Linked DNA regions of Nothobranchius furzeri. The protein of the gene in region 1 binds, or shares a complex with, the protein of each later gene. Links are inferred from orthologs where the notes say so. Each region holds a gene or a part of one and is shown on either strand. Other genes may lie near its edges.

Region 1 (3,017 bases):
CATTTTCGCTAACAGCTTCTTGCATTTGGATAAGCTGTTATGTTTTGGTTTAGAGTTCATCTTTTTTGTGGTGTAGATCTTCCTTTTATTACATTTAGAGTGTTGTGGGTTTCGGTTTAGTTTAAAATATCACCTTGAGTCTGGTTTAACCACCCAGTTTAGAGTTTGGACCTTTGGAGATCCTTATTTTGGTCCAGAACCCAGTAATCTTTGCCCAGTGGGACATCCCTACTTATTTGTACTTTTGTTTTAATTCCCCACAGGCAGAATTAGTTTTATTATTCCCAACCTGTGGATGGAGAGATTTATGTTTTTTTGTAGTTGTAAATAAACCTGATCATCATTTTAACTTTTAAATCCCGTTATTGTCCCTTCCTTTTTGCACACGAGCCAAACTCCTCAGGAAGAGTCGTAACACCACTCCCCTCCCGCACATAAGTGACCAAAACAAAGCAGCATGGAGACAGTCCGGCTCCAGCCACCTCTCAGGCAGCAGCCTGCACTCCCAAGTTCTACACGTCACCAGAACATAACCAATAAACACAGTGTTATACAAAATGGAAGGTCTGTAGTGTTTATTCTCTTACAGTAACAATTTATCAACTTTTTGGAGGAATTTGAGATTTTCTTGTTTTTATTAATCGTGCAATAAAAAAATAATCGTTAGATTAATCATCTTAATAGCAATTAGAATAGTCGACTAATCGATAAAATAATCGTCATAATAATCGTTTAAAAAATAATCGTTTATCCCCAGCCCTAAAAATTATACATGTGAGTAACAAGATACCTGTATTATTTACCATTTAAAGAGTTCAGCATCAGCTTTTCAGACCTGGTGGCATGTAGTGTTTGATACAATACTTTAGATCATTTCTAAATGATAATTTGAACTCTGAACCTTTAAGTGCACTGACGTGAAAGCTGACTGCAAACTTTTCACAGATAGAAAACAAAAGGAGCCGACTCTGAATCTGTTCCTACTGGCTGAGCTGAATCCGCGGGACAGCGGTCATGAGAAATGGGACCCACCCCTCTGCACAGTCTGGTCAACAAACCAGGAGTGGAAGTCTTCTTCAAACGCTTTGACCTCATACAGCTGTAAATCTCCACTTCCCAGCAGGTACAGAGAGGCTCCATCTGCAGGGGAAAGGGGAACCGTGTCACTTTCACTTCTGCAGGTCACAAGGGTAGAAATATGTCAAAGCTCTTGGGAAACATGCAGAGACTTTGCTGAGATATGACAACTGTGTAGCTGAAGCTCGCGCTTACACATGCACTTTACTGATCAGTTCATCATAAAGTCAACATGCACAGAGTAAGGTGGTAAAAACTGAGTCTCAGGCAAGTTTTACTACCGATTACCAAAAAGAAGTGACATTTGATTTTGTACTTTGTCAAAGTTTGACTTCAAACTAGCAAAGGTACCATATTTTCCACACCATAAGGCGCTAATAAAAACCTTTGATCTTCCCCTGAACCGGCAGTGCGCCTTTTAATACGGATGTGCCTTTTATACATGTATTAAGGTAACTCTGGCCCAGCGCGGTACCCCCCAGCGCCGTCCTTATCACCCTCACCAAATAAAAGGTGTGGCACTGCTCCACACAGCTATACCGGTAACCAGCCATGGCACCAGCAAAGAGACACGCTTATGAGGCAGAGTTCAAGCTCAAAGCCATCGCTCACGCCGTTGAGCATGGAAACATAGCAGCAGCGAGAATACAAGATTAACGAGTCGATGGTCCGCAAGTGGAGAAAGCTGGAAGACCAGCTGCTGCAGGTGAAGAAAACACAGCGTAGCTTCAGAGGCAACAAGGCAAGATGGCCGCTGCTTGAAGACCGAGTTGAGCAGTGGGTCGCAGAGCAGCGAGTGGCGAGCAGAAGCGTCTCATTCGTCTCAAAGCTGCAGCATTAGCACGAGAGATGGACATTGGGGACTTCATAGGAGGCCCTTCCTGGTGTTTTCGCTTCATGCGGAGGCGAGCGCTTTCTATCCGCACCAGAACTACCGTCTCGCAGCAACTACCCGCCGACTACGCTGAGAAGCTAGAGTTGTTCCGCTCCTATTGCACCAAGAAGATGGCAGACAAAAACATCCAGCCCCAGCACATCACCAACATGGACGAGGTCCTGCTTACCTTCGACATCCTGGTGAACTGGACCGTGGAGAAAATGGGGACCAGCACGGTGTCTGTGCGGACGACCGGCCACGAGAAGTCGTGCTCACCTGCCAGGCTGATGGCCAGAAGCTGCCGCTGATGGTCATCTTAAAGCGGAAAACTTTACCCAAAGAAAAGTTTCCCGCCGGCGTGATCATCAAGGCGAACCCGAAGGGCTGGATGGATGAGGACATGATGGCGGCGTGGCGGCGGGAGGTGTACCCCAAAAGACAGGACGGCTTCTTCCACACTTATCCAGGCATGCTGATCTGCGACTCCGTGCAGGCCCATCTCACCGACGCCGTTAAAATCCAGGTGAAGAGAGTTTAAATCTTCATTCTTGCTGCTAAAAGCACCCGTGCATTAAATTGGGACATTTATGTTACTTTAATAAGGAGAAATTTATTTTTTAGTATAGACAATGAGTGGAGTAACGTTTGACTTTGATCTAAGTGCCCAATTTGCCTCAACTGTGCCGACCGGGACGCTCGTTTGCTTTGCGGGGTGCGTGTTTTGATCCAGTGAGCCTTATGTGACGACCAAACCTTTAACTAGGACGCTGATTGGCTGTGCGCCGTATAATCAGGTGAGCCTTATGGTGCGGAAAATACGGTATTTTAAAAAGGTTAGGGGAACATCAGTTTGTAGTGCACTAGAGATCAAGTCTAATCAGTTTAAAAGAGAAACTGAAAACACATTTTATGCTCCTGCAGGGGTGGACCTTTAAAGCGCCCGAGCGCCAATGGCGCTAAATTTTCTCGTCGGGCGGTAAATACTTGACGACTTACCGCCTGGGTGGCGCCCAAGCCTTATTTGTCATTTACACACCGGCTTTCACCTACATCATGGCCCCGC
Region 2 (4,052 bases), on another chromosome or scaffold:
AGTGGGGGTGTATTACTGTTGCAGCTGTAGGACGTATGTAACAAACATGTGGTACTTCTTAGAAAACAGGACAATCTCTTAAAATTAAGATAAATTTAGTAATAAAAAAGCAGTTTATACTCAACAAGTGTTGACAGTTTTCATCCAGATCTCTAATTCTATTTTTCCACTTCAGTTTGAATTAAAATGAAGGGATCCGCTGTTAGTTCTGTTTTACCAAGTGTGACCCTTTTCTAGTGCACACACACGTGCACGTTTCTGCCTTATTTATATAATGTAAAGTTGGACTGTGCCTGAAGAACTTTTTGAAATGTGTACAGTGAAGTGTGAGCAGAATTTAGCATACAAGCCAATGACTTTGAAAGTGATCAAAGGCGGTGAATATTTAGTGTTTTTTTGGTTGTGAACGTCCAAAATCTAATTGTTGTGAATAAAAATAATCTTGTGAAGGTGGCACAAATGTGGCTGTTTTCCATTAAATCACACAATATACCAGCCAGTAATGTTTTGTCTTTATTTACAATTTTTTTTAATAAAATGTGAGCAATAATTGGTACAATATAATAGCTGGCTCTGTTATCGTTGGTTAGCTGGCAGCAAGATGTGTACCACTTGGAAAAAGCTGAAGAGACATCAGCCCTAACAGGGTGTTTTATCAGTCTGTTCATTCAGCTACCGGCCCGTGGATCTGTGAAAAAACAAAACAGTATCATCCAACTTCAAATCCATACACCAGCTTGTGTTTTCTATAGTTCTTAGTTCCTAATGAAGTTTGTGTTTAGGCAAATAGGAACAAGTAAATGTTGCTCCTACACGTGCTCACATTCCAGCTTTACCTTATATGTCAGAGATTATAAGTAAAGTCACAGCTGTTCAGTTTAATCTTTCCATCATCCAGATAAAGTTAGACTAATTAACTTACAGCATCTGCAAGCTCAGGCCAGTCCATGGCCATCACCACAGTATCATCAGAGGTTGGAGGAGTTTCCAGGTTCCAGTAGGTGAGTTTGTTAAACACAGATGATACCCTCACTGTCCTGTCCTGGGGACACACACACACACACACACACACGTATAAATTAACATGTAGAAATGACAGAAAATCGCCTTAAGTGTTTGATGTTTACCTCCTGGTCAGAGCCATGCTTGTTGATCTCCTTCAACACCAGGCCTGTGTAGCCCTGTGGACAGCTGATTTCCTGTCCTTTCAGACCACGTCCTCTGAATGACACCGTCTTCTCTGTAATTAGAAAACTAAATGATAAACTGTTGCTGGACTAACTAAACTACTGAAAGTTAGATACTTGTAGTAAGCGACACGGACCGCCAGTAGAGACATGTTACAAGTAACAGATGTGAGACTGTGTACCTTGTTTACGGTCTTTTGTAGTAGAAGTAAAATATTCTGAGACCCGGGCAGGTCCATTATACTCAATCTCACAGGGCATGAGGTGGACCTGGGCCTGTTTGACCTGCCCCAGTGAAGTCACATCAAGATGTGTTACACTGGTGTTACAGCTCATCCTGTAGCCAGAACACAAGAGACTGAACAGATTACACTAAAAGAGTCATTTTAGACATTTTCCAAACAAGATTTTTTTCTGCTGCAGAGGTCTCTTCCTTTTTCTCTGAGCAACACAAAGCCTAACATGACTTAATCTGAGCGTAGATCACAACTTGGTGGTTGGCTATTTGCTTTTCTATTGATATAATTGTTATTTATACGCATTAGATGGCTTCATCTCTTCTTTTAGGTGTAAATAAATGCAGAACCTTCATCTAAAAATAATATATTTACATTTCTATTATTACTTTTGTCCTTTTTAGGAAAACACGCCATACTCCCTTGTATTTATCTCTTTATTTCCTTTTTCCTCTACTGTCAAACTATATTTATGTCCTGTTTTCATTATAACTACTATCACCATCGTCATCTAAACACAAATGTTTTCTGCACTCACTAGAACTGACATTAAAAACAGTTTGTTAGACAAAGTAAATAATAGTTACTGAAGTTATTTAGAGGGAAATTCAAAAGCTGAAAATAAATTTAAATGCTGCATCACATAAACACTTCCCTACTACAGGATTAAAACTACATTATTACCCAGGACTTTTTGTTCTGCTCAAACACTATTATACATGTAGTTAAACCGTTTAAACTAACGTTGGATAAATAAATCTCCACGTTTACCTTTCTACTGTTTTCCAAACGCGTAACGGAACTACTTCCGCATAATGTGAGACACTCGTTTGATTGGATAAAATTTTTCTTCTTCTACTTCAAGGACATTTTGGCGAGGTGTTTCCGTTCTGTCGCAGATTATCGCCCCCTGTTGGTGAGGTTTAACTTGGCTTTGACGTTCAACAATGAAAAATAAGAAATTTCTTTTTTACTTTTTACTTAGAAATGTGTGAGACTTGGAGATCACATTAGTGGGTTTATTTTTGTTCATTACGTATACGAGTAATTCGTGTTTTATCTAAATAAATAAAAACCTTTGAGCTAAAATACCCTAGATAAAATATTTCATTATTTGGACCTGAACTGCAACCAGTGGGACAGGGAACATTGAAGTGCTAGGAGGAATATTGAGTTAATAAACTAAAAGCTAGTTTTAGTTTTTAAAAAAATATGTTTTGTCACTGCCAATATTATAATTTATACAATTTAAGGTTGACTTAAAAAAAATGAGTGTCAAACAGTATGATAATCTTGCTGAATCATCTTCTTGGGGGGAAAAAATCACCAAAATGTTTGCTAAATTGGTCAAATACATATTGTCACCACCCAGAGAGGGTGTAACTAAATATTAAACATGCTTAGTGCCGAGTAGTTCAGGGTAATGTTTTTGTTTTTGTTTGTTTTTTGCAAGGACAGCAAACATCCCTGCTAAAGCAGCATTTCATGAAAGAAAACTTTAAAATGGCAAATGTGAACTACACAGAAAACATTTACAATTTATTTACCTAATCATCTGCTGATCAGTAAAGTAGCCACATGTGAATTTATGATGAACCAAGCAGGTGAGGAGCTGCCAATCAGAGTCAGAAATAGAAAACGTATAAAATAATCTATTAAAGTCCTATTCACAAGATTAAAAAAAGCTTTATGAAACAGTAAGAGGGCAAACTAACACAAACCCCCCAAAAGGATGAACTCAAATGTAAACTTTAATAATCAAACATATACATTTCATTAATTTAATCATTATATCATTGTTCTACACTGTAGGGGTCTCATCTACACTGTAGGGGTCTCATGGAGACACTGGAGAAAAAACTGACATGTATATATATGCTCTAGTTGGAAGAGTCCCCTGTCCTTGTGGGCTGGACTAAACCGGTCCCGCTTTGGGCTCAGAGGCACTGAGGATGAGATCCTTGAAGCCTGTTGTTTGTGTTTCACCAGAGAGGACTGAGAAACGTCGGGTCTGATTTCCCAACAGCTCATATTTGGTCCAAAAGAAACCAGAGGTGAGTTCATCTCATAAGGACAGAAGGAAATGTAATTCAGATGTATGCTTTTTTAACTTTTGGTTTAAAAATACTTAGTTTACTTTTTAAAAACTTCTCCCTGCCTATGAGTTCATCTTAAAAATGTTGATTTTCAATGGAAATGAAATCTAACATGAGTGACAACAACTAGAACCTAAATAACTCGACCTTACTGTAACCGACCTTTTATCCACCTTTTAAAACCTGACTAATTTCTCCCTCTTTGAGCAGAAACCTTACCGTCAGGCTGATACTGTAGAGTCAAATGGTATGAAAGATTCTCCCTCATGACTGTGATTGGACTCAGTGGTTTGCATCTCTCTGAATGTACAGGATTGTTCTCTTACTTTGTAACGTCGTCTGTCTGCTTTTTATAAGTCTGTACATAATTTCTCGTCTTTAAATTCCAAGAAAATCTCAACCCAAGAACCTTCCAGCCGTCAGTTTTAATTATTGTGAAATCTAACTGTTACTTTTTGGCTGTTTTACTCCTTTCATTCATTTCTTTTCCATAATTTAAATCAATGTGTTCAAATGTTCCGCTCCTCTGATTT

Evidence for each region.
Region 2: the proteins of rnaseh2b (region 1) and rnaseh2c are in contact, whole or in part, in a crystal structure (PDB 3PUF), measured with the Homo sapiens proteins. The link is inferred for Nothobranchius furzeri from reciprocal best matches to the Homo sapiens genes RNASEH2B and RNASEH2C. Residues at the interface, in NP_078846.2 of Homo sapiens: Arg14, Gln15, His16, Val17, Phe18, Leu19, Val20, Ser21, Glu22, Leu24, Leu35, Met36, Phe37, Val38, Lys39, Leu52, Glu62, Lys64, Phe66, Glu68, His70, His71, Ser72, Trp73, Phe74, Ile75, Asn76, Gln77, Ser78, Val79; in NP_115569.2 of Homo sapiens: Ile9, His12, Arg13, Val14, His15, Leu16, Ser18, Ala27, Thr28, Leu29, His30, Leu31, Leu32, Pro33, Cys34, Glu35, Val36, Ala37, Val38, Asp39, Gly40, Pro41, Ala42, Pro43, Val44, Gly45, Phe48, Phe63, Val75, Pro77.

What each region holds. Positions count from the first base shown.
Region 1 is NC_091754.1:26,824,112-26,827,128, reverse strand, and holds part of rnaseh2b (ribonuclease H2 subunit B), read right to left. Parts: intron 1,141-3,017; coding exon 1,033-1,140; intron 1-1,032. UniProt on the Homo sapiens protein: Non catalytic subunit of RNase H2, an endonuclease that specifically degrades the RNA of RNA:DNA hybrids. Participates in DNA replication, possibly by mediating the removal of lagging-strand Okazaki fragment RNA primers during DNA replication.
Region 2 is NC_091741.1:88,186,285-88,190,336, reverse strand, and holds rnaseh2c (ribonuclease H2 subunit C), read right to left. Parts: upstream 2,598-4,052; 5' UTR 2,195-2,597; intron 1,525-2,194; 5' UTR 1,524-1,524; coding exon 1,370-1,523; intron 1,241-1,369; coding exon 1,128-1,240; intron 1,043-1,127; coding exon 923-1,042; intron 689-922; coding exon 665-688; 3' UTR 501-664; downstream 1-500.